Linked DNA regions of Drosophila melanogaster. The protein of the gene in region 4 interacts with the protein of the main gene of each other region in a pairwise test. Each region holds a gene or a part of one and is shown on either strand. Other genes may lie near its edges. The genes, in order: PAN2, CG16978, CG2082 and Lcp65Ag1.

Evidence for each region.
Region 1: the proteins of Lcp65Ag1 (region 4) and PAN2 interact in a two-hybrid assay, tested with the Drosophila melanogaster proteins (one large-scale study listed by BioGRID).
Region 2: the proteins of Lcp65Ag1 (region 4) and CG16978 interact in a two-hybrid assay, tested with the Drosophila melanogaster proteins (one large-scale study listed by BioGRID).
Region 3: the proteins of Lcp65Ag1 (region 4) and CG2082 interact in a two-hybrid assay, tested with the Drosophila melanogaster proteins (one large-scale study listed by BioGRID).

The regions. Positions count from the first base shown.
Region 1 is NT_033778.4:8,924,471-8,934,877, reverse strand, and holds PAN2 (Poly(A)-binding protein-dependent poly(A) ribonuclease 2), read right to left. Parts: upstream 6,710-10,407; 5' UTR 6,579-6,709; coding exon 6,524-6,578; intron 6,421-6,523; coding exon 6,230-6,420; intron 6,170-6,229; coding exon 6,000-6,169; intron 5,943-5,999; coding exon 4,681-5,942; intron 4,620-4,680; coding exon 4,498-4,619; intron 4,445-4,497; coding exon 4,345-4,444; intron 4,288-4,344; coding exon 4,228-4,287; intron 4,169-4,227; coding exon 3,873-4,168; intron 3,809-3,872; coding exon 3,612-3,808; intron 3,548-3,611; coding exon 3,185-3,547; intron 3,124-3,184; coding exon 2,925-3,123; intron 2,864-2,924; coding exon 2,652-2,863; intron 2,588-2,651; coding exon 2,366-2,587; intron 2,308-2,365; coding exon 2,198-2,307; intron 2,136-2,197; coding exon 1,969-2,135; 3' UTR 1,775-1,968; downstream 1-1,774. Other genes in the region: FANCI (fanconi anemia complementation group I), read left to right, coding at 1-261; AIMP1 (aaRS-interacting multifunctional protein 1), read left to right, coding at 6,779-6,937, 6,994-7,806; CG8237 (uncharacterized protein), read right to left, coding at 8,139-9,116; CG8243 (uncharacterized protein), read right to left, coding at 10,175-10,407. UniProt on the Drosophila melanogaster protein: Catalytic subunit of the poly(A)-nuclease (PAN) deadenylation complex, one of two cytoplasmic mRNA deadenylases involved in general and miRNA-mediated mRNA turnover.
Region 2 is NT_033779.5:13,140,569-13,146,427, forward strand, and holds CG16978 (uncharacterized protein), read right to left. Parts: upstream 3,055-5,859; 5' UTR 3,030-3,054; coding exon 2,739-3,029; 3' UTR 2,646-2,738; downstream 1-2,645. Other genes in the region: CG9928 (uncharacterized protein), read right to left, coding at 1,977-2,297.
Region 3 is NT_033777.3:5,767,693-5,775,754, forward strand, and holds the start of CG2082 (uncharacterized protein), read right to left. Parts: upstream 4,207-8,062; 5' UTR 4,010-4,206; coding exon 3,938-4,009; intron 1-3,937.
Region 4 is NT_037436.4:6,132,099-6,137,992, forward strand, and holds Lcp65Ag1 (Lcp65Ag1), read right to left. Parts: upstream 3,177-5,894; 5' UTR 3,116-3,176; coding exon 2,997-3,115; intron 2,936-2,996; coding exon 2,737-2,935; 3' UTR 2,599-2,736; downstream 1-2,598. Other genes in the region: Lcp65Ag2, read right to left, coding at 1,056-1,254, 1,316-1,434; Lcp65Af, read right to left, coding at 4,282-4,480, 4,539-4,642; Lcp65Ae, read right to left, coding at 5,621-5,813, 5,874-5,894. UniProt on the Drosophila melanogaster protein: Component of the cuticle of the larva.

The DNA.
Region 1 (10,407 bases), on a different chromosome or scaffold from region 4:
GAGGAAGAGCAGCCTGAAACGACTTTAAAATTAAGGCGAAACAAAAAAGTGGAGCCAAAAACCAAAAGGAGTGTGGCCATTAAAAAACCCGAGGAGCAGCCATCCCATGAGAGTCGTACCAGTAAAAGGTCAAAAGGTCCAGCGGATAAGCAAACAGCGGAGCCAGCCAAAGTGGATCTTTGCGTTCCCGAAGTGCCCGCTGAGAAGAAGAAACCACAACCTAGTCGTAGACTGGGAATACCTCGTACATTAAGGAAATGATGTTTTGTTAAAAAAAAGTATATTAAAAAGTATATGTATTTAAATCATGCCAGTCCATTGCTTATTCAAAAATGGTTGCGATTATCGCAATTACTTAATTTTCATTATGTGCTGTATTGCTGTTTTCTAGAATTTCCACATGTTCAAAAAGAAAAATTGTTCAATGTTTTTGTGAATCTTGTTCATTTAATATCATTGGAATTTTAGCTACCTAATCTCTGTAAATTAAAAGGCTGCTTCCCATTATTTATTAGTACTGCAAATAAAAAATATATATAAGTATATTCATAAGCGAAACTTGATAAATTAAACAATGTACTCACTTGCAGCGTGTGCCCATGTCCAGAAACAATAACACTTCCGTCATTGCCCACCGAGACAGTTCGTCCATCCGGACGCTTCCACACCGACACACTATCATCCCAAATTCCTGCTTGATCGTCACGAGCCACGAAGTTTTCTCCCTGGACGCGGCCATCTTTGATGCTGCGGCTGTCCCTTTCAACAATCAGTCCTTCAAAGCCCTTTGCCAAGGTCGCTCCACAGGAAACTGGGGACTACGCCTGCCCCTTTGGACAAAAAATCCTCCGGAACCCACATCCACAGTGCGACCAGGACGCTCCACATGGAACTGAGGACTACGTCTGCTCCTTTGGACGACAAATCCTCCAGAACCAACATCCACAGTGCGACCACTTCGCTCCACATGAAACTGGGGATTGCGAAGTCCCGCAGGCTGCACAGTGGAGTAGGCGGGCTGTACAGCAGCTAGACCTGGTCCTCTAAGCGTATGTGTTCCTTAAAATAGTATCCATAATAAGATTTATGCACTGCCTCGAACCATGATTCTTAGCCACCTGGTCCTCCAGCGTCTTTTTTGTGCACATACGTGATCCCCTGCTCATCCGTATAGACGTGATCTGCTGGCGACGATGCGTGATGGAACTGACCACCTACTCCTGGCACCTTGTATACGCCATCGTTCTGCCCCCGAATGTAGACTTGATTGCCGGGTGTTCCGAAAACGTGAGGCCCATCATGTCCGTCGTATGTCCGCTGGAGATCGGCAGCTGAGGGAGCAATGGAATCGTCGATTAGTCTCCGTTTGGGCGAGACCATGGTAAAGGGATTTTTCACCAACGCACAAAACAGCGCAAGCGATCGGCACGAGAAGTCCAAGCAAATGCATTGTCATCTATGTTCCCTGAGTGAATGGTGAGCTCTAACAACTAACTGGCTTGACTTGCTCGTCGTGGTATTTATAAGTAGGTGCGCAGTAGTCCAACATCAGGTTATTCATCAAATTGGCGACAGCATCTCAAAAATTCACAAACGCCGCTGGTGATAGGGGAGGGCGAATGAGAATTTCAAAGGAATTGAATCGATTGACGTGCACGATCCCTGAACACATCTGTTGCCCGCTTTTGCCTATTAGCCCGATTGTGGATTTGATAAGCAACTTAGATTCGCATCAACGATCAATAAAGCATCACTGATAAGAAATACAACTTTTATGCTTTGTTTTGATTTTGTTATAAAGATAGACAAATACAACATGAAATACCAGGAGCTTCGTAGCAAATAGCAACGCATTAAAACATAATAAAATTGGGAGAAGCCGGGATTTTTTCAGATCGGTGTAGCGTTTGTACTGACGATAACGTTGATTATGAGTTTCGTCGAATTGGCATCGGGTTTGGCGACGAATCAGTCCTCTGGAACCTTCCACTGCAGCTGCTTTCCGCGTTCGTAAAGATTCTTGAGAGCGTTGGCAAACTTCTTCTCCTCCTGCAGCTTCAAATAGTGCTTGTAGAGCTGCAGAGTGGTCCGTGCATCTTCGATGGAGTCGTGCGTCTCGGACTGAATCTTAGTACCTTTGGCATTAGGAAAACCCAATTAGATACAATTCCAAATCGAAGAAAACCCCTATACAAACCCAAGAAATGCCAGGCTAGAAATCTTAGGGAAACCATGCGATGATGTGGCATGTGAAACAGGTGCACCGTATCTATTATCTGCTCCGACGGTACATAGATGTTTATGACCCTGCAATCACATGGAAGTTTAGTGGTCTATTGGTTCCTTACAAAGCAGGGCATCCCACCTAAAGTCGTTCTTCAGACCATGTCCGACAAATATTACTCCTACGTCAACGAGGTATTTTAATTTCTGGTATGAGTACTTCAAGGCAGTCAGTCGCTTTTTGCTGAAGTTAGCGTCCAAGTCGCCAGGCTTGATTCCCGAGAACTGAGTTAGGTAGTCCACGACCTTCTCCTGGGTGGATATGTAATCGTCCATGAATGGAACTCCTTCAGCCGGGCCTTGTCTGTAAAGAATTCATACCCGTGCTTATCGAGATGAATATTTTTAAGTTTCAGTTAATGAATTACCCTCGTATACATGAAATCCGGGCCACACTCATGTGGCATGGCTTAATGGTCGCCGTTTTGCCATCCGGGCGAATCTCATTTTCCTCTGGATTTAGGGTAACGAACTCGGCATCCATTGCGACCAGATCACCCGACTGCGGCATTTCATCTGACTGCAGGGGCTGCAGCGTGGCGTCTGCACTTAAGTTGCCTAGCATAGGACTCACAATTTCCTGGTAGGATTAAGATTCAGATTAGCATTCAGCAGACTCAATGCTATATTAAACTATTAACCTCTAGAAAAGGGTTGGATAGATTTGTTGGCGAGCCGCTGCTGCTCTCTGATGGAATGGTTTCTTCACTTTCCGTGACGGTCGAGCTAGTAGTACTAGCAGACTCAGAGTCATCCTCTACGTGTCTGTAGAAGAGTATGCAAGGAACTTTCCAATCCAATGTGAACCATACCGATTCTTGTGGCGAAACGGGCGATATGCTGTTGAGCGATATATGAGCAATATTAATCGAAGGCCATTCACAATAGAGATCTAACTTACCTAAAATCATTAAAAATATACCATTGACTCTGAGGGTCATCTGCAGATTCAGCCAGTTTCATGGTGTGGTATGGCCGCTGCACATTTATCAACGATACCAAGTTCTTTTGGGTACCATCATCGACTTGGCACACCACGGCATGCAGCGCGTACATCCGATTGTTGTCCAAGCCCTTTGTTGGTGGCTTTTCCGTTTCCTCCTCCTGTTCCGATTTGCCACTGCTTGCATCTGATTGAGTTTGCACCTGCACCTCACCTTGGTCATTGATGCCCATAGTAAATGTAAGGGGAAACCAGGACTTTTGGCGTCCATTGGGAGAATTGTTGACAGCATTCGGTTGGCTTGTGTGCGATGGAGATTTTCTGCACAGTAGGTACAACAATATGCATAAGACGACTGATTCAGTTTCGATTCGTCGTAACTCACCGATCCGGATGCATGAAATGGCAGTCACTTCGCGAACAGTTGGCTCCATATCGACACGGCTTGCTTGTGCTCAAGGAAGCGGCCGCATCAACAGTCGTCTTTTCGCTGCAGCGATTGAGCTGGCGCTTCAGGAAGGTAATGTCTTTTTCGTTGTTGAGGCCACAGTTAATGGACAGAATTTGCGGAAGCGAAGTCACCTGAAATTCAGATGCATTACATATGTAACTTCTTGCTTGGTTCACTATAAAGTTAGCTCCCGACCTTCACGCTCTGATTGGTTGGCGAAAACTTCTTACATCTCTCGCAGAAGGCCTGAATACTCTTCTCGGAGCTGAGAGATCGCTTCAAAATGGTGCCAAAGTTGAAATACTGATCACTATCTTTGATGTGGTTGGGATACGACAAATTGCAGGCAAGTAGAATGCTTTCCTTTATCTTCTCTTCTTGGCATTTGATGCAGCGGTTTATACAGATTTGCTTGGTCCCAAAGATCTTACTGATGTCAGTTTCTGCGTTGATCTTACTGCGTTCCCGATCGTCCTCCTTGGAGTTCTCATCTGTTCATATACGTACATATGATTAGAGTGTTAGTTAAACCATTAATTCACCTGCCCACCACTTATGGAATCGTAAAGGTCCGAGGAGCCACTTGTTTCTGAAGAGCCCGCGTTTTCCGCTGCAAAATAAATCGAAGTTTCACTTATTTGTAAAGGATAAACTCGGCTGTGGTTACCGTTCGTTGATGTTTGCACAGATCCGCTGTAGGTGGATGCGTTCTTGCTAGAATCGAATATTTCGTAATGCATTTGATGCAAAATGAATCGGTTCCAGTTCTGAGAGTGTGCATAAATTAAATATCTGCTTAGGAAACCATGGTATTACTTGCCTGTATCAGCGATATTAGATTGACGTTCGATGAGCGGTCGGTGAGAATCAATCCCAGTGCCGAGGCCTCTGGCACAGTGCGGAAAGATCGCAGGAAATTGCTGGCCTGGCAAGGTGAAGAAGCTGAAAGGAGCACACATAAATACTTAAACTAAGGATAGTTAAGTTACACAAGCAAACTAACCGGTACTTTTATCCAGCATGTTGAAGAGGAACCCTAGTTCGCAGGACAGGCAAAACTCCTTGATGCACGAATGCTCCAGCAGCTTCACGCGAAGCGCGTCGGTGAAATACAAAATCTGTAGCATAGCATTGCAGTAGGAGTTCGGTAGCGTTGCCTCCAGCCCCGCGAAACATGTTTGATTATGCTGGTCAAAGTCAAAGTCCTGGGTGCCCAGCTTCGTGTACTTCAGCTCGACTTTGCGATACCGCCGTGGAATGATTTTCACACCGTTCTCCGCCTTGGTCGCCGCCGCAGTTCCATTTCCGTTCGGACTGCACACGCCGCCCTGCTCAATCACGTACGGAATTTGATTACGACGGGCGGTGCGTGGGTTTGGCGAGTATCCAATCGGTCCCTGCATTTTCATGTTGCTCAGCACTTCGGGATCAATGGTCTTGGGCCTGTGGTAGCGGTAGCGCAGCAGTTCCTCCGGCCAATCTGAGAACCATTGTGTGCCCGTCGTCAAGTGCGGTAGCATGACCGACGATAGCGGAAAGTTGGTGTCCGTAATGGAGACCATCGGCAGCTGTGGCACCACGTCCGCAAACTCTGTGCTTCGCGAGTAGAGATTGAACTGCGGCTGAGGCGTTTGTACAGCGGCAATCATGTTGATGTGGCCCGACTGGTCCCCAAATGCCATGGCCTGTGAAGAGGAGCTAATGTCGAAGCTGAGGCACTGGCTGCCGTTGGTGTTGATCTGGTACATGGATACTCGCGGCTCGCTGAGCTCCACAGTGTCCACCAGCTGAACCTGGCCGTAGCTGGACACGACGGCCAGTTGGGATGTCAGCGATGGCAGGAACTTCAACATCTGCGGATCAATCATCACTTGAATGGGCGCGATCAGGCGCAGCATGCGCAGATCGTAGACCATTAGGAAGCGGTCGATGGCCAGGTTATTTTGCCTTCCGCTGTAGCCGCAAGAGATTAGCAGATTTCCCTGGACACTGAAGTCCGAAAGGATGTTGGTGTGCGTCTTGATTGTGTGCTGAACACTCAGGCTGTTCAGGTCGCGCAACGTTACCGTTCCCAGCTGGTCGCCGGCAAACAGATAACGTGAATTCTTGCGTAGCACCGTGCATCCGCCGGCACCCACATGCTCTATGCGGGTTTCCTTGAGCGTGCGCAGGTCGAAGTCGATAAGCTCGTCCTGCAGTCCGGCCATGACCAGACGATGCGGTGATAGCTGCAGCATGCTCACCATCTCCTTCATGTTGTTCGATCTGCAAGAAATTGAAACCTCACTTTCGGGGAATCTTTGTGCCAGCGCGGTGGCTTACTTGAAGGTAAACTTGGGCAGACCCCTGCGGATCTGATGACGCAGCGAGGTCTGCGTGAGCGCCAGCACTCCGGAGTCCAGGGTGGAGATGTCGCGCACAATGTCGGTGGCGTGGACCTGAAAGGATGTGTACTTCTGCATGGAGTTTGTGTAGTACGATGTGACGTGGCCCTGCGGGAAGGAGCGAAGATTCAGGATTAGTAAGCCTGGCAGGCTGGACGAGGAACTCACGCCCTGGTTGCCCATCCACAGCAGCTCTTCGTAGTCGTCGAACGCCACGCTGGAAACGCCGAAGTGCTCCCCGCCGTCGGCAAGCACGGGCACAAGCTCCACATATTCCGGATCGGTGGTGCCGATGTTGAATCCATTGAAGCTGGGCGAAAAGTGCCCGTTTCCCGGCGCAGATCCCGCGTCATAAACACCTTTTCAAAAAGTAAACAGAAAACAAAGGAGAAAGCTTTAGCTGGCTTGCGTGTGTGTGTGCGTGTGGGTGAGCGTTGGCCCCAAAGCGACCCCTTGACCCACTTAGTATGTCTTCGGAGGCCCCGATGGGGTCGGTGCCGCAATACACGTAATCCATCTGCCGCACGCCGATGCCCACGCGACTTTTTATTGTTTATTTTTTAACAAATTTCGCTCAAAACTGCCAGCCGTTTTTGCGTTGCACCGATTAGAGTGACCCTGGCAGGGCTGATGTAAAAATACTCTCGCTTCTCCGCCAACGAACTACCTGTCCAACGCTGCGCGACGCCACTGTGCGTGGCAAGAAGAAGCACTGCAATGCTGCGTAGAGCTGCCACGACTGTGGGATCCGCATGTAAAAATTACGGCCAGAATTGCTCAAAATTCGCGAGAAACAAAAGAACAATGGCCGATCTGCAGCAGATTGCAAGCAACAACGAGCGCGCCGAGGCGCTGATCAACTCCATTGAAGCCGAGGCAAGTATTTCCGCCTGCCAGCGCCTGCGAACACTCGATAACCTACTGCCCCCCAGATTTCCGGCATCCAGCAGCAACTTGTGGAGCGCCAGAAGCAGGAGCTGATCAAGGAGAACGCTGCACTGGCCAAGGAAGTTGAGGCGGCTTTGGCCCAGCTGGTGCAGCTGGAGCTGCGAAATGGCAAGAAACAGATTCCGGTGCCTGGAGCCCGGGGTTTCTGCACCAGTGCGGCCCCAGTAGTTATGCCGGCAGAGGCTGGACCTGCTACCGCTGCACCCGCTGCCCCGGCTCCTAAGCCGGCCAAGGAGCCCAAGGAAAAGAAGTCCAAGGAGAAGAAACCGGCCGCCGAGAAGCCCGCCGCCGCTCCGGAGGCTCCCGTCGACGTCGGTCGCCTGGATTTACGCGTGGGCAAGATTGTGGAGGTGGGTCGCCATCCCGACGCCGACAGCTTGTATCTGGAGAAGATCGACTGCGGCGAGGCGGCTCCACGCACCGTGGTGTCCGGTCTGGTGAAGTTCGTGCCCCTGGAAGAGATGCAGAACCGTCTGGTAGTGGTCATGTGTAACCTGAAGCCGGCCAAAATGCGCGGCGTCACCTCGGAGGCTATGGTCATGTGCGCATCTACACCGGAAAAAGTGGAAGTGCTCAGTCCGCCCGCCGGAGCTGTTCCCGGCGACCTGGTTCACTGCGAGGGCTATCCGCGCCAGCCAGACGCCCAGCTCAACCCCAAGAAGAAGATCTTTGAGTCGTGCGCCCCGGATCTGAAGACCAACGGCGAACTGGTTGCCTGCTACAAGGGCGCCGCTCTCCATGTTCCTGGCAAGGGCAACGTGGTGGCCCAAACCCTGAAGAACGTCAATGTGAAGTGAGCCAATAAACGAAACTAAAGCTTTGAGCCAATAAACGAAACATCACCGCCTGCACACCATTTCAGTATCAGAACTTCATTATCATTCAGTTTCTAGTACCAGTGAAGAGTAGCTCTACAGGAATATCGGAAGCTCTACTGATCATTGGGATTACTGGTTATGTTTGATTATCGTGCAGATTCTGAGGTATTCATGTGATATTTTATTTTATTTCACACGACAGCAGTACATAACGACATTAAATTTATCATTAACAAGTCTATTTATATGTGCATAGGAAGTGCATAGGAGTGCGCCATTCCTACACACTTTGGCTGGTTTAAGTGCCGTCCTCAGCGATTATTGCGCTGCGCTTGCCCTTGGGTGCGGAACACGGCAATGGAATTGCTCTCCACCACAATCGTTTTGGTTAGGACGTCGTAGGCGGTGCGATTGTTCTTGAAGAAGACCATCAACACGCAAATGGGGAAGAGCAGGGTCATCCCCAGGTTCTTGATCAGCGCGCGGGCGAAGGAGCGCATCAGCGAGGGAGTCTGTGGCGGATAAAGCAGAGCCCTCATCGGCTCCCTCTGCGGCTGGAGGACGAACTGTGGAAGGGGCGGCCCCTGAAGCGGCATCACTGCTTCCACATAGTATATGCGTATCTTCATCAGCGACTTGCCCGGCGTAGCCCCTTGGTATAGGTATGTCCACAGCGCTTCGTAGCAGCAAACGATGAACTTGGTCAGCATTTCGATTAGCAGGAGGTCGGTGGACATCGAAATAAAATCTAGTGATGTGTCAAAGAAGTTCGAAAAGAGGTCTTCTTGGTCCAGGGTGCGCCGAATCACGTCCTCATCGAACTCTATGTTGAACAGGTTGACCACCCCGAAGGTAATGATGATTTTCACAATGAAAAGGATGAACATATCGATGGTCTCCGCCACGGCGCGCTTCCAAAAAGGTGACAGAACGTACTCGTAGCCGCCAAGACGCTGTATGATATCCAGCTGGGCCGCCTCGCCCAATATCCGCAGGCCGCTGAAGTTTGGCGCAGGCAAACGAGGCTCTGCAGCTGGTTCTCCCGGCGCAGCAGCCGAGCCCTGAACCAGTGCTTGGGGTTGTCCCATGGCGGCTGCTTGGAGAGCAGCGGAAGAAGGCAGTCCCGGGAACATGGTCGGGTAGTTGGCCATCAGGTAGTAGGGAAACATGAGCATCGCATTCTGGGCCAGCGTCGCCTGTTTGGCCCACTCGGCGAGGCTTTCGAAGTAGGCTTCCTTGGTGGAGCGCTCCGTAAGCTTCTGACCCGTCTCCTCGCCTTGTTCACCCATTTTCTCAGTCTCACAATGATCGATTTTGTTATTTGGCTGGCTTTTATTTATTTATACAAGTTGACGTGTATTGCAATCGGTAGGGTGTGTCGGCGTATCGCTGCGAATGACAAATACTGCTAAATACGATTCCCTGTGAATTTCAAGCAGGGCGGGAAAATTTAAGAAGACTCACTTTAACTTTTGATGCGAAATATTTGATAGTACGTAAAATTCGAAAATATATTATTCTAACTTTTTGTACATACAACTATAATGTTGAATAAAAAGTAGTTGGGCAACCGAACAAGAAGCTGTTTATCTAATGAACTAAATGTAATGCATTTTGTAGTTCTTTAATATATAAATTAAAAGCACGAGGTCATACATTACCCGTATTTACTTACTTTGAAATCAGCGACACAACGAAGCACATACAATTGTCTGAATATTTTATTATTACACAGTTCGAAGTGGTTTGATTTCTTCCTTAGACATAGCAACTTAAGAATCGAATACAATAAATCCGTTGACAACCCGCCATGATATTTTAGATTCACATTGACAAACAGGCGTGAATAAGTTCTTAAGGATATCAAGCATTTAAAAAGTACTGCGCCAGAAGTCTACACCTTACATTCGTACCCTGGCGTGGACGATTTTGAATGCATGCGTATCAAATACCTAGCTAATGTTGAAAAATAACATGTACATTTGATTGGAAAGTGCATTACGTTCTGTGGTTCAATTTTCAATTTTAAGTAGTTGGGTGTTACACGCGTATGTATGTACCTTTTATGATTTAATTGGAATAGATTTAGACGAGCAGACGCGATTCCTGGTGGACATGGAGATGGACATGGACATGAACATCGTTTAATACAGTGGCTTGCTCGACAATGAATTCTTCTACGAACACGAATAGGACAACTAACTAAATTGGCAAGTTGTTGTATAAATCGAATGTATATAAACAAGCATCGCCGTCTCACACACACATGTTGCAACACCGAGACGAACCGAACACTCGTGTCTTACAATTAATTAAAGGAATACAACTACATAAATACACCGCGTATTTATTGCCACACATTACCGATATTAAGATTCCCAAACTGCTGGTTCAGATTTGACGGTACTGAGGAGGTGGTGGGCCCCGTTGCGGCAAATCCGCCCGCTCCTTGTGGCGGTTGGCCAATGTTCAGCCCACTGGGCAGGGGCTGCATTAAGTTCATGGAGAGGCCGCCAAGCTGTGGGTGATGTTGCTGCTGAAGCTGCTGCTGATGTTGCTGCTGCTGTTGCGGAACAGCTC
Region 2 (5,859 bases), on a different chromosome or scaffold from region 4:
GGGTGTTACAGACTTATTTTTTGTTATCAGCAAAGTATTTGGCACAGAGCCAGTATATCTCATATCATTTGCAGAGATTTGGGATACCCGATAAGCGAGTAAACAAAAGTCTGATAAGCAGCAGTCCAAATTCAATTTGCCCCCCATCGATAAGAAAACGAGGGGACACAAAACCGAAGGGTGACTTAAGCCAGCGATTGCTCTGCCATTATGGGTCTTAAGAGCTAGAACAGGCCATAAAGTAAGCTCTTGGAGGAGGGGATACCACCCATCCATTCAGCCATCCATCCATCCATTTAGTGAGACACAGACGCAGAGTGACATAATAAATAAATTTAATCAGTTGGCTGCGTAAAAGCTCTGCCACTGCTGCTGAATAGAGGGGAAGTGGAAACCCAATCCGAATCCGATTCCGTGGCAGGTTTAACATCTAGTGTCTTTAACTTTGGGATTTACTTTAAGATTGCCGCCGTCTGTGTCATCAGTTCATATTTCGAGTGCTTAGCGCTCATTTCTTTCAATTCCGCCCTTTTTATGACCTCCACCACTGGCATCTCCTCAACTGGCTGGCTTATCTCATTGGAAGCCCGATTCTCATTCCGTTCTTGTGTCTGTCGTTGGGCGTCGAGACAATGTGGCCTTGCCCACGTTGCGTATGCGTAATCAAGTTCTTAAATCCGACTCAAAGGGCAATTGTGTTGTGACACCCAACAAGTTTTCATAGCCGGCAGCTAACATACTTTTTAAATTATTTCACGTACATCATTACGTACTACAGTTTTAATGGCATTATTACCACATTCTATTTACCGCGCAACTCGTCGTGCGAGCTTTCCATGATTTTTCCCCTTTTGGAAATTTACATCCTTTCGGCTATTTGTGTGTTTATTTATGAAGATTAAAGCGCCAATTAAAACACTGATTATATGCGTTAAATGTGGCTGAGAAAACTCTGGGTCTTTAATAAAGTGCGTGGAAAATGGGGTGCGTTTAATACGGGAAACGTTTAAATATAATTGCAATTTTAAAAGAGAAACCTGCTGCTCGTCCTGCGGCAAAAACGCAGCACAATTGTGCGGTTTCCATTATTTACACCTCGAATTCGCTGCTGTAATTGTTATTTGAACGGGGTAAATAATTAGCAAAAGCAATCATTTAAATTTAAGTCAAAATTTAAACGTAAAATTGTTTAATTATACGAATTCAGTCATTGCTGTGTGCGAAGAGAATTTGCATAGTAATTGATTGCATTGTAATCGAAATAATTGATTGTTCCGCTCGATGTTTGTTTTTGATTGATTTGCCGAGATAGAAATTACGCTTTAATGGTGGTAATTAAATTTAGATCTGTTGTATGTTTACAAACAAATATTTTCTATTATTCCATTTTGTTCAAAGGGCAGAAGAAAAATTTAACTACTTTCGGAGGTAAGTTTGCTTAGGTCTTGCGCAACATTTTCTTCTGATTAGCACTGCTTAAAATGTATTCATGATGCGGAAATCGATTTAATTTCTCTCGATAGCCTTCATTTAGTTATAGTTATGTATAACTGGTTAACGCTATGCTGAAGACTGAAATTCGGCTATTAACACAGAACGTTGGTTTAACCATAAAATCGCATAAATATGCTAATTTCTTTTTGTTTTCGTTTTCATCGTAATGGTATTCTAAGCTCAAAATTGGTTTCTTTTTTTTCTACTTATTATTCACCTAATTAGCATAAGCTGTATGATTAAAGATATTTAGAGAGGGGTGCTATTTTAAATCGACAGTAAAAGTGAAAAATTCTCAATGATGAAACAGGCGGAACTGATTTCGAAATGGGTCAAGGCCCATTGGATTTGTTAGATAAGATCAGTTCATAAAATAATAAATACGTTTGTTAAGTAATAAAATCTAAAGCATTTTATAATGCTTATTTCTTAATCTTTTAAAAATTCTTTTATTTAAATTGAGTATTTTAACATCGTAACATTTATCCTATGTGTATAAACTGGAATCCGCGAGCGTCTTCCTTTGAGTCTCCTGCGGATCTATCGGTATCGAATCCAGAATTCCTCACCGCATCGTTGCCCCAATTATTTCTATCATTGCCACTGTTATCCAACGATTCCAGTAGCTTCAGAGTCCTATCGTCATCAGAACTGTGAACACTATCGCTCCAGTCCAAGTTGCCACCTGAAGATCGTGTTCTTCCTCCTTCGCCACCGAGGTTTATATTCTGAAATATACCCGATGCACCGATCGCGGTATAGATTAATCCAAACAGCACCAGCAGTCGGAGAATGGATTGCATTTTTCTTTCGATTAGCTCTGGCTACAGTTGACTGAATGTCAGTCGGCTCTTGAGCTGGGCTTTTATAGCCTTGCCCTGGGTTATCAGCAGTTCTAAGTGGTTGGTTTAAAGGTGATATGTATACTTTTAGACAGAGGTGAGTGCGGGAAATTCCAGCTTAACAGCAACACAGCTTACCACAAGCTTAATTGATATACTAAACGAGCTATTAAATTCAATCTATGACTAGTATTTAATGCGTACTTAAAATCGAAATTGCGGAGTAGGCAACATTCATTATCAAAAAATGAAGATCTCTTGATTCTCTCTTGATTGATTTCATTTTAAAATTTCTAAAAACTTTCTTTTATTTCCCTTAATAATTATTATTGAAGAACTAGATTATTTACAGACAATAGGATAGCATGACTTAGCATTACAGCACTACTAAATAATTCCATATTAAGTAGCCGGTTCGGTGGTAATATCCATAAAATCCAAAGTCGTCTCATCGTCATCAAGACTTGGATAGTCAGTTGAGTTCTCATGAGCTGCATCGTTCTCCTGCCAGCGTCTGATCAGCTCGTCCATTGCATTCATGAACTCTTCGGCACTGTTGTATCCACTGCCAGATTCCTCCAAAGCATCATTGGTACCTTCCGGATCTTCAATAAGGTCGTGCGGATGGCCGGCAATTAGAGCAGCACAAATGATTCCGAATAGGAGAAGCAATGATATGATGCGGCTCATCATGCTGATCAATGCACCGCCGGCAACTGCATAGCCAGATGCAATTTCTTTCGTTTTTATATGGATCGTGTCGGTCAGTAATAAGTTCAATGGAATTCTGGAAAATCCAGTCTGGGCTAAGCCCAAGTGGCAAGCTGCTTCGATTTCCTCATTCATATTTATGCGTTGGGCGGTACTAGAGTCCCCTCTGAATCATCGCAGACCCAGCAAGAGCAAGCATTGCGCATACGACACGTTGCCACTTGCGGATCAACAGTCATGCAAATAAGTCTATGATTAATTCCAAATAATTGCTATGTCTGTTGAGAAAATTCTCGGCCATGCCAATCATCTGTCAGTTACTAGAGTTGTGTTAGTTAGCTGGGTAGTCAGAAAATGTACTCTAAATAAGGGATTATAAACTTAGCAAAGCGACTGTATTTCATCTTTCCTTGTAGGCCGATGTGAGTGCTGCCGGCAACCCTTAAATGACTTGGCTGCCAGCATCGAGCACTTTACTCCGCTTCGTTGCCTCAATCCTTCGTTGGCTCCTCCGGCACTTTATTCAATTTTCCAAAGCGCGCGCACTCAGCTGCCAGTACAACCTCACTTTGCCACCCCAAAAGACGGGAGCCCATCCACGAAAACCTGTGGTAAAAACATGCAATCTACTCACGAGGCTAATGCCCTTTTATGGCATTGGAGTGTGCCGCATCAGCAAAACGGTGCTGAATCGTTGCTGCTGTAGCTGCAGCATTCAACCATCTAACCACCATGCGAACAACACCATTAGATGGGCCACCAGACTCGATTCACGGGGGCTGCAGCTCATTATCCTCCGGGGAAGCAGACGCCCGCCCATTCACCGAATTGCTGGTGGACTTGTCTGCAAATATGTCGCTCATTTGCATCGCCATCATTGGAGTCTAAGACTGCGCCATTGAAATCAAAGTAAGCTGTTACACGGATCGTTTTTAGTCATTTCTAAAACGTTTCAGAAAATTCTTTATATAATATAAAAACTCTGCTGGCAACTGAAATAATAACCACAAATATGTTTTTAATTATTTTAATATCCTCAACTTCAATTCTATAATTAATGTATATTTTAAAAAATTTCAAACTTTTTCTGATGCTTTTGTATATTATGTCGACTTGCTAGCAAATGTCAGTCATTTAAAAATCGCCGCATACCAGCGGCGCAACAAATCAAAGTTGGTTTTGAGTTTTGTTTAGTGGTTTTTAAGCCGACATGAATACCCACTTCTAGGTGTATAGAACCTTAGCAAGTGCCATTAAAAAGATACAACTGAAATAGCCCAGGCACTCCGGCATAAAAGTACGACAGTCAGTCAAATTAACATTTCAGTCACACAATGACCTTCACCTAGAAGCCATCAAAGCGTACCCAAACGACGGCCCAGCCCTAGCCCCAAATCCCCTGGCTTCACCGGAGTCCAAAGCCAAAACCAACTTCAACGCAACGCGACCAAATAACATAAAAACCAAAGTCAATCAAAAAAAAGAGGAGGAAAATAAATATTTTTCAGCCAATGTCTAAATACCCTTTTCGAAGCTTCAATGATCAATATCATTGATAATACTGAAGTTGTAAAAATAACTCGATTTTAATTATGACCAAAAATGACATCTAATCGTTTAAATTTTCTTCATATATACCTTAAGCTTGTGGGTATATTTTTCAGTGTTACAAACCTCTTTCAAAAATCGAAGAACCCCCTGGAAAGGTAACCACAAATATATGAAAAACGAGACAAAGTCAAAGCTGGCTTTTGCTCAGTCGGTCGCGTAATTTTGTTTTCGTAGCCACTTGATTAGCACGCTCTGAGCCATGTTTAAACGTGGGCTGTTTAGCCAAACGGCAGCCGATACGCCCGACCTGGTCAAAAGCGTACCGTCCAATAGCAGCGATGGCAACAAAAAGAGCTCCAATATCGGCGAACAGAATTCAGCTAAAGACCGCACTAAAGACTTTGACGCAAAAAACGTGCGAGTACGTGCCGCTGATTAGTAAAACAAACAAATTAAATTGGTCTCTACTTTATGCCCGATTTTCTTCTATTTTTCGTCTTACGACTTTTGGCTAAGAGCTATACCAAAGAGCTGTTTTGGCTCAAAGAGATTTATAAACTTTTCAAAGAGAAGCCAAGAGAAGTCAATTAAAACAGATGTTATAGTTTTAAACAATATATTCTCTTAAATAAAAGTATCAACCATCATATAATTTATCTATAATTGCTGGTCTTTAAAAGCCAGGTTAATGTAAAAAATTCCCATTTCCAATGCATCAAGTGGTTCTTGTTCGTGATATTTATAATTCATATTTAAAAGATTAGCTCTTTTGACCATCAAGGTCCACCACAAATCGATTTGATCTTTGCGACTACTGGTCTTGGCTTATTTGCAGGCATGGCACCTGCTACTGGCCAACAGATCTATGAGTTAAAATGAATATTTATATAAGAATGGATTGCATTGTCATGAGTAGGCAAACGTCTCGCATTCTTGGCTTTATTACTTGGCCCGTGGAGAAGGAGAGTCAGGTTTGTTAATCCATGCCGAATCAATATGCAGGTCGCGGCTTTGACTCAATTCTTATTTTGCCCGATACGTCATTATAAACCGCAGTTGTTTTCGGTTGGCGAGGGGGTTTACTTGGGCTAAGCCCATTACTGGACACCAGTTGGATAACTGCTGTCGATGCTGCTGGTCTTACACCGTAAAAAGTTAGATGGCCCAATTAAAACAAGCAAATGTTGCTAAGGAAATAGTCTAACAAAAATGTTAGAAAGTAAGGATTTTTAAAATATGAGTTTATTAAATATAAATTTAT
Region 3 (8,062 bases), on a different chromosome or scaffold from region 4:
ATCTATTATCTTCTGACTGTTTCTAATCTGCTAAACGAATCAGAAATATCCTTTGAGCTGCTCCAAGAGCAAAAACGAAAGGCAAACAACAAACGTTTGCCAATTACAATATATTTTATCCAAGAACGAGAAAACTTGCTGTAGCCAGAAGTTGTCATCTGGTTGCTTGTTCAAAAAATCGTTAAACGCAAGTCGAAAAGTTTGTAAGATTGAAATGGCTAAAAGTTCGCACCTCAGCACTCCATCCATCAGCATGCAGGCTAAATGTCTTGTGCTTGTTTAATTGCCCATCAGAGGTATACACCATCATTGGAAACTAGTGTTTCGCCAGCCAGGTGGATATAGGTCACCATTTATCTCTGATCCCCCACTGCCCACCACACGGCTCATCAGGGTTTCAACTCATCAGCGTGGATCGGGTAAAACAAAGCCGGGACCTAGTTAAGGACTCTCGAGAGAGAGCCAAGTCTGCTGCAGAAGTATTCGCCACTTGAACAGAAAGTTTATTTAACAAAGTGCCTGCCATTGAATTAAGGCCACAGGCCCGTCCTCCGGAACCCAATCCCCTATTTTCTCCGCTAATCAGCATTTTCCTCGCCGGACACGCCTAACTCAATCGGTGGGACTGCTCCCCGGGCTTAATTTATTGCATTCGCATTCCTTCAGTCCGTTTCCCAGTTTGTTGATGGGCGGACGGACAGAAGGTCCAGGTCCCGTCTTGGCCACTTCATTTTGGCCAAAAGCGAATTCAAGTGTAAATGGATTTTGTCTAATAACCGCACTTGCACCGTAGCACTTTGGGGATGCCCCCAACGCCCCAAAATCCCCAGCTCTGAGGATTTTATTGGTATTTGGTTAAGTGCTGTCATGTGTCGTCCTGGGGGTGGATTGCCCACATAGATATGCCTCCTTCTCGCCCGGCTCATTCTGTTGATGCTATTCCTCACTTTTTGCCGTCCTTTTCCTGGCCAGCATGCGTAATGGTAATGTAGATTTAATTATCGGATATGGGCCGCCTCTGGTCCCTCGTACTTGTGCCATTTCCGAGTTCATTCTATTAACAACGCATTAATCTCAATTAATATTCCGAATACCCAGTGGCGGGCGAAATGTTTCAATTAGCAATTGCCTGGATTGAATTCTGCAGGTGCATTGTGCAGGCCACATAATTGATATGATATTTAATTTCCCAGCTGATTTGGCACAGCAAATCCTGCTAATGTACACAAATTCGAGTCTGTATCCATAGTAATCATCGGTGGACTGTGCCATTGTGCAGTGCATTATAATTGGGACATAGTTACATATTTATTCTGCCCTAGTAGTCCGATTCAAAGATTGGTGGCAGGTGGATTTTCGGAGACTAAAACATTCAGTTGCCATATGTAGATGTGAACCATTTAATGGCTCTTCTAGACCAAGTAGAATTTGCCTATCTAGTTGAAATGCAATTAAATCCAGAGCGAAAAGTCACAGTCAGCATTTTGGAATTGGAATCGTTTTGACTTCTCGTGCAGGACCTTTTTGCCAGGCATTATCTAAGAGGAGCACAAGTTGGCCGCACTTTGACGTATACTTGATGGGATTTTTATGCCCCGACACTTTTCCAACAGCCTGCGGATGCCGTTATGAGGGCGGTGAAAATCTGGGTAAAAGTGTTTGAATTTATGGAAAACCTTGCAGGGGGAGGGGTGGGGGTCGGTTGCATAAAGGCAAAAGCCCCCAAGTGATGCGAAAAGTTGTGCAAACAAAATTCCAGCACACTTTTCTGGCGAAGCGACCGCATTGCCAGGGAATTTTTAATAGACACAAACAAATCACGCGGGCATGTAGGCCGGTGCTTAAAGCCACCAATTAAATGTTCTTTAAGTTTGCGCCCGCAGCCGCAGGGGGCAACGGGGCGTATGAGCAACCTTGCCTTGCAAACTTTGACACTTTGCCGGTGGCAAAGTTCTTACGCCACCGTTTCCCACTCACTTAACAATGCATAGAGGAAAAAATATGAAAAAAAAATTGAAATAAAAGGAGAAACGCGTGTTTTTCGATGCCTTCGAAGTCAACAAGTTTTCGTCTTGTGGACAGGGGACACGCCAGATGCTCCGGCGAAAACAAACTCGGAGGATGAAGAAACTTGGCTGGGCGGAACAAAGAACGCAAACTTGACCGAAAAGGACTTATATCCTGAAGTGTGAGTGTGGGCCAGCACAAATTATGGGAAGTTTCTTCAAGGCGGCCAATGGAAGACCCGCGGGCAGAATGTCGAAGGAAAATGGAAAAAGTCGTGGGAATAGTGGTATAGGTCTGGCCCGGTCTGCAGTATCATGTATAATGCATACCCCTATATGGACAGCCGACTCCCCATTATGCTTTTCCCTAGTTAAATTCCATCGCATTCAGATTCCGCTTGAGGGGATGAGCGAGCCCTGCGGAAAACTGGGAAACAAAGCGAGTCGGACAGGAATACAGCCATATATCGCAGAGATTTACTCCAGCAAAGCCCTTTAGTCAGCATATTTGGATTGAGATTGCAATGCAGGACAAGAGGGTGTGCACCATGTGGTCGGGGTGGAAGTGGCGCAGCTCACATTGTGGTCAGGATTTAATGAGCTCAGTCGAAAAGGAAAATGGGGAAATTATGAGCCAGCCACGAGGGCCAAAAGCGAATAAGTGAAAAAATGCTACATAGCAAATATTTATAAAGATTTAATTTTTATATTCCAGTTATTAGTTTTCTCCGCAAATTATCAAATAACATGTAGCATTTCAACAATAAATTAACCATATTTCAATGAAGTGGGTGCATTCACTTTAACTTTCAACTTGGATATGTTCCTTTATTTCCGTTTAGAGTCCGCACCACTTTGTCGCCATATAATTAGCTGCCTAATAAAAGAGGGAAATAGCAGGCCAATAAGACCGAACGAACACCATAATTTTGCCCATTTGAGCACCTAGATTCGTTTTGGCCCACTCTACGCAGTTGCTGTGTGCCAGATGCGACCGCAAATGGCACGTAAAAAGAAACATGCAGTTCCAGGCTAATGGTTGAGTCGCCCCCATTCCAATAGCCACATCAACAGGACCACACAAAGAGTCGCACAAACAACGACATGCAGAACGACAATTATGCAATTTTTATGAGGCGCAAGACAGAAAGTATGCTATGCCCTTTGAGCCCAGTTCACTGGGCACCGAGGGCCAAAAAAATAAAAAGCAAACAGCACCCAACTACAAAAGGTAACCCCGTGCCAAAAGGGGAATTCGAGGTCACCAGCATATGTTTCTACAATATATTCTGTATTCTGTTTTCTCTATTCGATCGCGGTGGCTTAGTCTGGCTTAGCATTTCGCGCTCACCTTTTTTAATTGAAGGAAGTAAAGGGGATGAATTTTAGGTAGACTAATTCCACAAAGCCCTCGAACTGTCACGAAATTAGTTGATTACATTTTCAACACCTTACGTTTTTTTGATAGTATAATTTTCCATTTACGTGCTATTTAGCCCTTTTCATGTGGAAGAAAAACTAATAGCTTTTTCGTGGTACAAGTGCTCAGAAATATTTCATAATTTCTTAATTTAGGTAGGTTTTTAAATATTATTCAGAACAACTTGGTCTTATAGCAAACTAATTCACTCGTCTGCAATTTCATCACTAATTTCCGTGCAAATATTTATCCCGACTTTTTTGAAAGATTATACCACTCAGACACTTGAGATGTTAACAGAAGTAGTCGCTCGCACTTGCAGCTCGGCGTGTTACGAATATTACGTATACGCACAGAGAGAATTCTAGAAAAGCGCATTAACGCACTTGACGGACGGGAGTGATGTGGAACATGATATTATGGTGTTCTGATGCTCTGCATCCCAAATCAGCCAGGATGCACTTTTCGAAAAGCTGTCCTCCTGGCGGTAAACTGCTATGTCGGAACTCACGCTAATCTTCTCGGGGGCAGCAGCTGCTGAGGATGAGCCGGCGCCGTGCTTGGGGGTTCCCGGCTTCGACATGGTGTGGGATTCGGGCGACGGTAGCTTCACTTCACTGGGTTGCTCAAAGGAACTGCGGGACACACAAGCGTGGCTCGAACGGGGCTCTATCAGGCGCACAGCAGCACTCGAGGATGGAAACCGAAATCGGATGCGAATCGGGCGGAACCGCGTTTCTGAACGAATGCGCAATCTTCGAACGCCTGGCGACGACTGGGAAAACTGGCTTATCATGGGAAAATGCTACGCCATCGCCATCGCCGGCGTGAAAAGCCGATCTTTTCCGAGGCGAAACGAAGCTGAGCGAAACGGGGAGCAAAACAAACTGATGATGAGTGAAATGGCCAAGTGAAATCGCCTTCTGCCCACTCGCTCCCCCTCTACCGTTGTCTCTCTCGCTCTCGCAGTGATGCTGCCGGGGAAAAAGAGGCGGTTGGGGGTGGGCCAAGTGTTGAAATGTTGCCGTAGGGCAGTTTGTTGGGAAGGTGTTGCACAGAGCGTGGCCAGATGGTTGCCCACCAACTACGCATTACGAAATTCGACTCCCAACTGAGTTTTGTGTTGAAAAGTATTAAATTTATATCACATTTATATCACATTTAGATATTGTGTTTCTGGTCCTTTGACTTTGTATGCGTCAATAGTAGTTTCTGGAATCTTCAATGCATTACGATTACTTAAAATATGCATCTAGACAAATATGCTACCTATAAAACCTAGCTAAATACAGCTTATGAACTATTTATTTGTTTGTGGTGTAATTTTATAGTATTTTTAGCTTTGGCAAAGAGTGATTCTAGATACCAACCAGAAAATATAAATATTTCTCATTCTCATTTGTTTACGTCAAGCAATCCCAAATATTTCAATTACCTCTAAAGAACGTAATTGCAGTTTAAAATTCAAGGGAACATTCACATATACGTTTCTTTCCATCTGGCAACGCTCGCACTGCAACATGCACGCACACACGCGCACCTACAGCTTCTGCCGAGAAAATTCCGTTGCCTACTTTTGGGCGCGCTTAGTTTGGCGCCCACTCACGTTCGTCGCTGTAAGAGTGTGTGTGTGTGTTTCTGCTGGCCTGCGTTTGTGTGGGTGTCTTGCGTGGGTTTATGTAAAAATCCTTTTTGTCTTACTTTGTTTTCGGTGGCATTGTTGAGCAGACTCTTTATTGTCGGCGGGCTCTCGCCTTTGCAGCCCTTCTTCTCTTGTTGCTCTAAGCCTTTTTGGCCTTTTTGTTTTGATGTGCTAATTTGTCAGCGCGCGGGAAATGCGCAAATCCGTCTCCCCGGACGACCCGGGCACCCCAATTCCGCCCACTTCTCTGGCGAAATGCGCATTAGAAATATGCGTGTCCTAGGTCAAGCCGGCTGCGGTTATGCCACGAGGGGCTGTGCCTGTGGGTGGGGGCGTGGCCGCCGGGTCGAAATTTCTGATATGGATATGGAAAAAGGGTCACAGAGCATAGGTGCAGAGGTGCGGTGCGGCCGGTACGGTGATATGATGGAATGGATTACTATTATGTGCTGACATCGAAGGCCATCCCCTTCGCAACTACCGATGATGCAGCTCGAAAATGCTGGCTGGCCAAAGTGAAAGTAATTTAAAGTTGGATGAGAAAAGCGCAAAATGTTGAAGCCAATTAGGGGTAAACCAAAAATATTGGATGAACTGAAGGCTTGGATACTTGATACTCCATGCGATTTTAAATTCTTTCGATTTACAAGAGCACAGAAAGAAAAACCGTTGAAGATATTTTAAAAATTTCAAAAGGTTGTTTCATTTCAGTTAAATGAACCATATTAAATGTATGTTTTACGAGAGCAATTCGCTGATCTTCTCAAAATTTGCATGCATTTCCGCCAAGGCCATAAGCAGATATGTGTCATAATTTTTTGTGTTTCAATTTCGACACGTGCTTTAATTAAACAAATGGGGATGATGATGATGACTGAAAGCGCATAAAGCCGCCAGTCAGACAAAGGAATTAAGCAAAAGGCGGGCGAAGGAACAGCGCTGCATGCACATAAACGACGAGCAACGAACAAACACCATTGTCAGCCACAATTATCCAGGCAGGTGCTTCGAACCCACAACAAAATCCGCCAAGGAGGTGGATTTATGGGCGGGCAGGCGTTGGCCCAGGAAGGTGAATGGGCACCTGGGGAATATACGCCTTTTTCGAGCGGTTAGCGGATGATGTGGGTGTGGCAAACAATGGCTGAATGGGATCCCAGTGGAGAGCGGGGAGGGGGGTGGTGCTAAAACTAGGGTGGCTGCAATTGATAGTGTGTAAGCCGATTGCTCAAGGCGGCAAAAGCTGCGGAGCATGGGTTCAGGCGGATCCAAGTAGTTGGCTGAGTAGCTGGGTAACTGGGTAGCTGGGTAGCTGGGTAGCTGGGTAGCTGGGTATCTGAGTATCTGGGGAGTTGGCAAAGCGCAAATATCCCATTTATGTCAATTCGCAAAGTTAAGCGTGAAAGTAGGAACTCAACTTCAAGGTTTTCCCCCAAACAGACGCTAAATTCCAAGAGATAAACAACGACTTGTCGGCAGTCAGCGAAACAGGAAGCAATGGCTCTTGGTAAACAAATCCAATCAATTTTTTCGGTGCCTTTGGTGCCTTGGAGCTTGGGCAAAAGCCATCATAGGGGTTCTGTTCTTCAATGGGTTAAAATATAAAAACAAACTCAAGCACTTTGTGTAAATTGTCGAGCCAAAAAGGGAATATAAGCACATGAATTTTGATACACAATTTATTCTTATATCGTATTTTACTAATTAGACTAATGGAAAAGACCTAACGTTTTGAATTTGGATATATTTGGATATATTAAAGAGCCCACTAAATATTTGCAACAGTTTAAATCCCGTCCTACATTTACAGGAGCATCCTGTTCCCCCTTGGAACCACCCGCACCAGCAGGATCAGCCCGGAACACTTAAGCCCAAATGGCAACACAAACACACGTCCTGGAAAAACCAACAGCCGAAGGATGACAACGGCGACACTTGAGCAAATGCGTTTGCCGAATCTTCCTTTATGCCTCCTGCCTCCTGCCACGCCCCTTGAGCCGCGCCCCTGCCCTGCAAAGTGGCAGGCAATCTTCGGAAATTCCTCCGCAACGATATAATGTATACGCTCGATATTTACGCATTTATTTATGCCGCTCTTTATTGGCTTTTTATCGTTCATTTATTTTGCTCGTTATGTTCGCGTCGTCGTAGTCGCGAACTCACGCCACCCAACTTATTTGCCCAGCTATTTTTGGACTCACGAGCGGAACGATAGGAGTGTACACGACATGGAATAAATGCATGCGTTGGCCCAGCGGACGGAGGATGGGGGGAAGATGGGCATGGCTTATGCGAACATCGATCATCCGCCAGTGAAAGGTCGTTCGAATGGAATGCAAATGAAGCTTTGGTCACCGAAATTCCCGCGCTGATTGATAAGCGCCATCATCAGCATCATTACCGCCATTATCATCCGCTTCCACTCGTCCCAAATTGATATGCAAAGTGTAAGCAAAGTCCGTGTTACTAACACCTGGTCCCGAATCCCCCACCACCACTGCGCCCTCTTGGCAGGCGAATCACCTAGCTCGGGTTCCACCCTCCGCCACCCTCCACCTTCCATTCCGAACCGAAATTTAATTAACATTTTTAATTCCTCCACTTGGCGCGGCCAAAGAAAGCCCTTCCACCACTTTCCTTGGCGGAGGGGGGGGGGGTATATTATTAATAGATTCAGCTAAAAAAAAAACAGTCTAATTAGAAGCTTAGTCGTTCCACAAACGAGGATCTAATGTCTCTTTCCTGAGGAGAAAGTGAGTTTAAACACAAAATGGGTATTCAAATTTGAAATCAAATACTTAGCAATATACTTAGATGTTTTGAGAAATCAATTTAAAATCAATCAGTATATGGTAACTAATTTTATTAAAGCAGCATAAAAAGCCATGCATTTATGATATCACAAGATATAATTAAAATAGGCTTATGGTGTTTAACCTCATATCAAATGTATGTACACAATAAAATGAATATTCTTTCAAAAGTGTCACTTTA
Region 4 (5,894 bases):
TTTCAGAGTCTCCGTCACAGCTAGCTGCACTTTACTGAGCTGCGATGCGATCATCTGATGCCCTTTTATACGAAATCTCTGGATTATGTCCTCATCGGCGAAAAATGCAAAATAATAAAACAAATTAAAAATAAAGAAATCAGCTATAATGCAAACATTCAATAAAACACATTTTAATTACAGATTAACACTCTAAGTACCCTGCACTAATCGTGCATGCAGGTATATCCAACAGATGGTAATGTATGCAATTACCTTGTCGACAGTCAATTGATAGACAGAATGACGCCTTACCTTGCCATCACCTTTGAATTCTCAAATCTTATTGGTTAATTAAGCTAATCGTGAACATGTTTGTTTGAAACAAACAGATAGAACGGTGAAAATTTGTATAAAAAACAGTACACGATCACCATTTGCTATATACATATAAACTCAGGTTTAAACGATGTCTTCTAGTCGAGATGCATAAAGTTCTGTATTCGAACTTTTTATTATTGTGCATTGTGATTTTGCCATTGTCATTTCTCATATTATCATCTAATGTTTGAATAAGTAAAGCCTCAGCAAATGCTTTGTGTACACTACTATTGGTATATACATTAATTATTAATAGAAAATATCAATCAGCAATCCAACAAGCATGGAATATTCTACATATCAGAGTATTCTATATCAAATATCAGAGTATTTTACAAACATTTAATCGTGCAGCGGTCACGTATACACGCTGTGACCAGTTTCTATTCTTCGAATATCTATAATCAGTCGGTTCTTTTTCGACTACGACCTTCCCCATATGTTAATCAAAAGCTAATTGTATTCAAAACTTAATTTCGACTTCTTCTGAAAAATAAAATAATTATGAATTTTATGAAAACAAACACACATAAGTTCAGGTAATTAAATTCCTTTAATATTTAACAAGTGGTGCTGGTTGACTTAGTTCCCATCCTTTGAAAACAGGGATAGGATTGGTTTGGTAATGTTTGGGGCTATTAACAAGGAGTTGGATAGTATGGCTTTAAAATTGCTAAAGGTCAAAGCAATTTCACTTAGGCCACGGGGGCAACGGGCAGATGAGCACCCTGGGGCTGGAATCCGTTCTTATCGGCGATGTAGTTGACTTGGTAGGTCTGGCCATCATCAGCAATGAAGCGGTAGGATCCACTCACAGAGATAGCCTCGTTCTCAGTTCCAATGTCGTTCAGCTGACCTACAGCTTGAGCAGCCTGTCCATCGGAGGTTTCCCAGCTAAGAAGGAAGTCAGTGTCAGCTAGGTATCCTTTTGGGTCATTTCTCATAGGCAACTTACTCGTATTTGAAGCTTTCGGGTCCAACGTCGGATTCAGAGCGCACGATTGTGGGTTCCTCAGCGGCAGGAGCAGCCAGAGCCACGGCGAAGAGGGCGACGAAGACAATCAGGAATTTCATGGTGATTGTTGTTTGGTGTTTTGATCTGCGGTTCTCGAACAGTTCGCGACGAATGATGCCCTCTGATGGTTGTACTCCCTTTATATAGATGGATGGACAAACTTTGACGACCGAGCCCAACGCTGCCAAACTAGTCAAACTTGTAGTGTATAAAGCAAAATGTGATAAATGTGTGAAATTGAATTCGGCCTAAAGCTGAATCGTTAAAAGCCCTATACGATATGTAAATCGGACATCTTCATCTATATAGTTTGCATAGTTTCGCATTCCTTTTTCAGCTGTCTTCTCGTAGTTTCTATTTAACTGGAGCTAAAAAAACATAAGAAGTCATGGCAAATGCATTAAGTTTAACTAATAGCAGCTAAAAAAAAGTGCCCAGAACTGACAAAAACAAAAAGAGTCAACAACAAAAATAAATGTTTTTACTTGGACTCATATATTTTATGCTGATAAGCACGCCTAACCTTTTTAAAAACGTGTTGATAATTTTTTCACATTTTTATTAGTCTTGTTTCTATCGATTTGCAAAAAAAAAACTTTTTGCCACGCCCAGTCTAGCTCCCTACAACCGCCAAAACTACCACGCCCACATTTTCGAACCATTTTTCGATATTTTTCATACTTTTATTAGTCTTGTAAATTTCTATTGATTTGCGAAAAACCTTTTTGCCACGCCTACTTTAACGCCCTAAAGCAGCCGAGTCTGTCACGCCCACATTTTAAACAATTTTTAAATTTTTTCTCATTTTATTTCATAATATCTATCGGTATCATAGAAAAATTATGAAATTTCGCGTTCGCATTCACACCAGCTGAGTAAAGAGTATCCGATAGTCGGGGAACTCCACTAAGCATTCTCTCTTGTTTTAGATAACAGCTTATCATATATGATGAACTGTTGTTATGTCAGGTTTAGTTCTCAATATTATTGATTGATTAATCTAAACACAGTTCTCAAAAGTCTATAACTTCTATTACTTATAACTTATAACTTCTATATCACAATAAAACTATAGCACTTTGAATATTGTTTTTAAAATAGACCATTGGGAAAAGCTATATCTTAAAAAGTATATTTATATTTTACGTAAATTATCTTATGTTTATAGATAAGTGATCAATGATTTCCTGCTACAATTAATTCCCATTTAAAACAAATTACTTCATGTAATAATTTTTTCTTTAATAACACTTTAGGCTTATTGATTTAGATTCTGTTCTCCTTGATAAGAACGGTAATAAAGGTTTTCTATTTCCTGTTAACCGACATTAAAAAGGAACTAGTTAAAAATGTTGAAAAACTTATGCCACGGGGGCAACGGGCAGATGAGCACCCTGGGGCTGGAATCCGTTCTTATCGGCGATGTAGTTGACTTGGTAGGTCTGGCCATCATCAGCAATGAAGCGGTAGGATCCACTCACAGAGATAGCCTCGTTCTCAGTTCCAATGTCGTTCAGCTGACCTACAGCTTGAGCAGCCTGTCCATCGGAGGTTTCCCAGCTAAGAAGGAAGTCAGTGTCAGCTAGGTATCCTTTTGGGTCATTTCTCATAGGCAACTTACTCGTATTTGAAGCTTTCGGGTCCAACGTCGGATTCAGAGCGCACGATTGTGGGTTCCTCAGCGGCAGGAGCAGCCAGAGCCACGGCGAAGAGGGCGACGAAGACAATCAGGAATTTCATGGTGATTGTTGTTTGGTGCTTAGATCTGCGGCTATCGAACAGTTCGCGACGAATGATGCTCTCTGTTGGCCAGGGCGCGTCTTAAATAGTTGGACAACCTCTCGATTATGCTGAACGCATCCGAATTAGTCAAAACATAATGTGAAAAATGTATATTATTGAGTACCAGCTATCTCTGAATGGCTTAAAACCTAACACAAAATGCAAATCAACAAGTTTAGGCAAGTTGTTCAAATTGGTTTCACTAACTCAGTTGTTACTAGCAAAAATACTCGGCTGATATTAATAACCACATGAGAAACAAGGAAAAATTATCAATAGATGGCAATCTCACAAGCAGAATCTGAAAGCGGCTGGATAAATCGGCGGGACAGTTGGCGGGACAGTTGGCGTGAGATTCTGCGGGACACGCCGGAATGATCCCTAATCACCAGTTTGGCTTCAGAAGATCCCACGGATCGACCGATCAATGTCACTGGAGGTATTCGAAAAAAAAGAAACATTTCTGTGCCGTCTCAAATCCTGCACGGAGAGGAGAGTATTCCAAGTTAGATGCGGAAGCTCAATAAGCTCATCTAGGCCCATTAGAGCCGGAGTAGCACAAGGCAGCGTCCTTGGAGTGTCCCGCTGACACCAGGTGTTCCGCCAACTTGTCCGTCGACTGTCCCGCCGACTGTTCCTCCAACTTGTTCCGCCGAAATCCCGTCGATTGTCCCCGAAGAAGCCACAGACATCATCCAAAATTAACTGGATGCAATGGGCCCTAGGATGCAAAGGTGAAACATCGTAGTGAACGCGGAAAATCAATTTTCACTTTCGCACAGAGGAGAATGCCGTACAATCTCTTTAAGCGGAGACTGAATCTCTAATTTACTCACACTCAAGTACTTAGGGATGACTCTGGATCGCAGGCTAAGCAACAAATTTGTGGAAACTATGTACGATTCGAAATAAGTTATTTATTTTTCATAAATATTGACTTATTGCGAAATGATCACATTAAAAAGCCATTCTAAAAACTTCTTTAGGAGATGTTACAATTGTTAAATAATTTTTCCGAAACTAAAGTTTCAAAACGAACATATTCATGTATCTTTAATCAATCTGTTGAGGTTTTATTCATAATTGAAGGATTTTTCAGTAAAACAATATTAACGATGGATAGCTCAAACCACGGGGGCAACGGGCAGATGGGCACCCTGGGGCTGGTATCCGTTCTCGTCGGCGGTGTAGGCGATGGAGTAAGTCTGGCCATCATCGGCCACAAAGGAATAGGTACCCTTGACGTTGAGAGCCTCCTCATCAGTTCCAACGTTCTTCAGCTGTCCGGCGGCCTGAGCAGAGGATCCATCGCTGGTCTCGTAGCTAATCAAGAGCAAAGGGTAAGAAAACAAATCCTTGTCACATAGTTCACAAAACATACCCATAGTTAAAGCTTACAGGTCCGACATCGGACTCCTGCTTCAGAATCTGAACATCGGCGACAGCCAGGGCGAAGAGGGCGACGAAGACAATCAGGAACTTCATGTTGATTTTTGGCTTATGTGCTGATCTCGAAGAGTTCGATGCGAATGATATCGATTGACTTTGGGATGAACTCATTTATACATAAATTGTGAACAAGTCCAAGGTGCGGTGACGCTAATCTAATTCGCATACTGAGCATAAAATGCATGATATTGAGTTCAGTTTTGCTTTCAACTCAATGGTGAACGTTTTTGAGTGTTGCCATTTCAGCGCTTCAATTTTGATTACATTTTATCAAATTTGTTTGAGACTAGCTGTGGAAATTTAATATTCATAGATCTAGAGATCTAGAGAGATGTGGATGAATTTAAATTAACGATACATTTATTTATTTATTATATTATTTTTGAATGGGAAATGTAGACTTCTTTCAATGAAGTCCTTTTAAAAATAAAATTCTAATTAGTAAAAAATTCAAAAGAAATGGGAAAAAGTAGGCCAGGCATGTAACTTTATGTAGCAATAATTGCTCCAACAACTCGGATTTATTTGTTAGGTATAAGAAAATATTAATACAGTTTTTAAGCAAGCTTATTTCGTATACAAGATTTAAATAAAATTTATAAGTAAACTAAACTAAAACTAGATTAGGGTAGGCATTTTCCATTAATATAGGTGGAAATAGGGAATATGAAATCCCATTTTCTGGCATTCTAAATACGTGGCTCTTACTGCATATCAGAAAGTACAATTAAAATCGACTAACAATATATATAAAAAAATACTTAAGATATCGGTCCAATCATCAGATCGATCGATCTGATCTTTTGGGATGAGTACACGTTGTGCTATAAATATTTCATTTTTTAGAAGTTGACTTCTTGTGACCCAAATAGGAAATTGAAAAACAGATTCTTTTATATACATTCATTATTTTTTATTATTTAGTAGCTCTACAATTTTGACTTTTGACTTGGCCAAAACGGATTTAGGGCAGTTAAAGCAATATTAAAATCATGGTATTCCACTTCGAACCACTTAGGAGGCAACGGGAAGATGGGCACCCTGGGGCTGGAATCCGTTCTCATCGGCGATGTAGTTGACTTCGTAGGTCTGGCCATCATCGGCAACGAAGCGGAAGGATCCCTGGACAGCAAGGGACTCGTGGTCGGTGTTAGGGTACTTCAACTGTCCCTTAGCGTTAGCCGCCTGGCCATCGCTGGTCTCGAAGCTAATACGAAGGTCCAGAATCAGTTAGGCATTTTTATGAGGACCCTGTCAGTCTACTTACGACCACTGAAAGTTTTCGGGT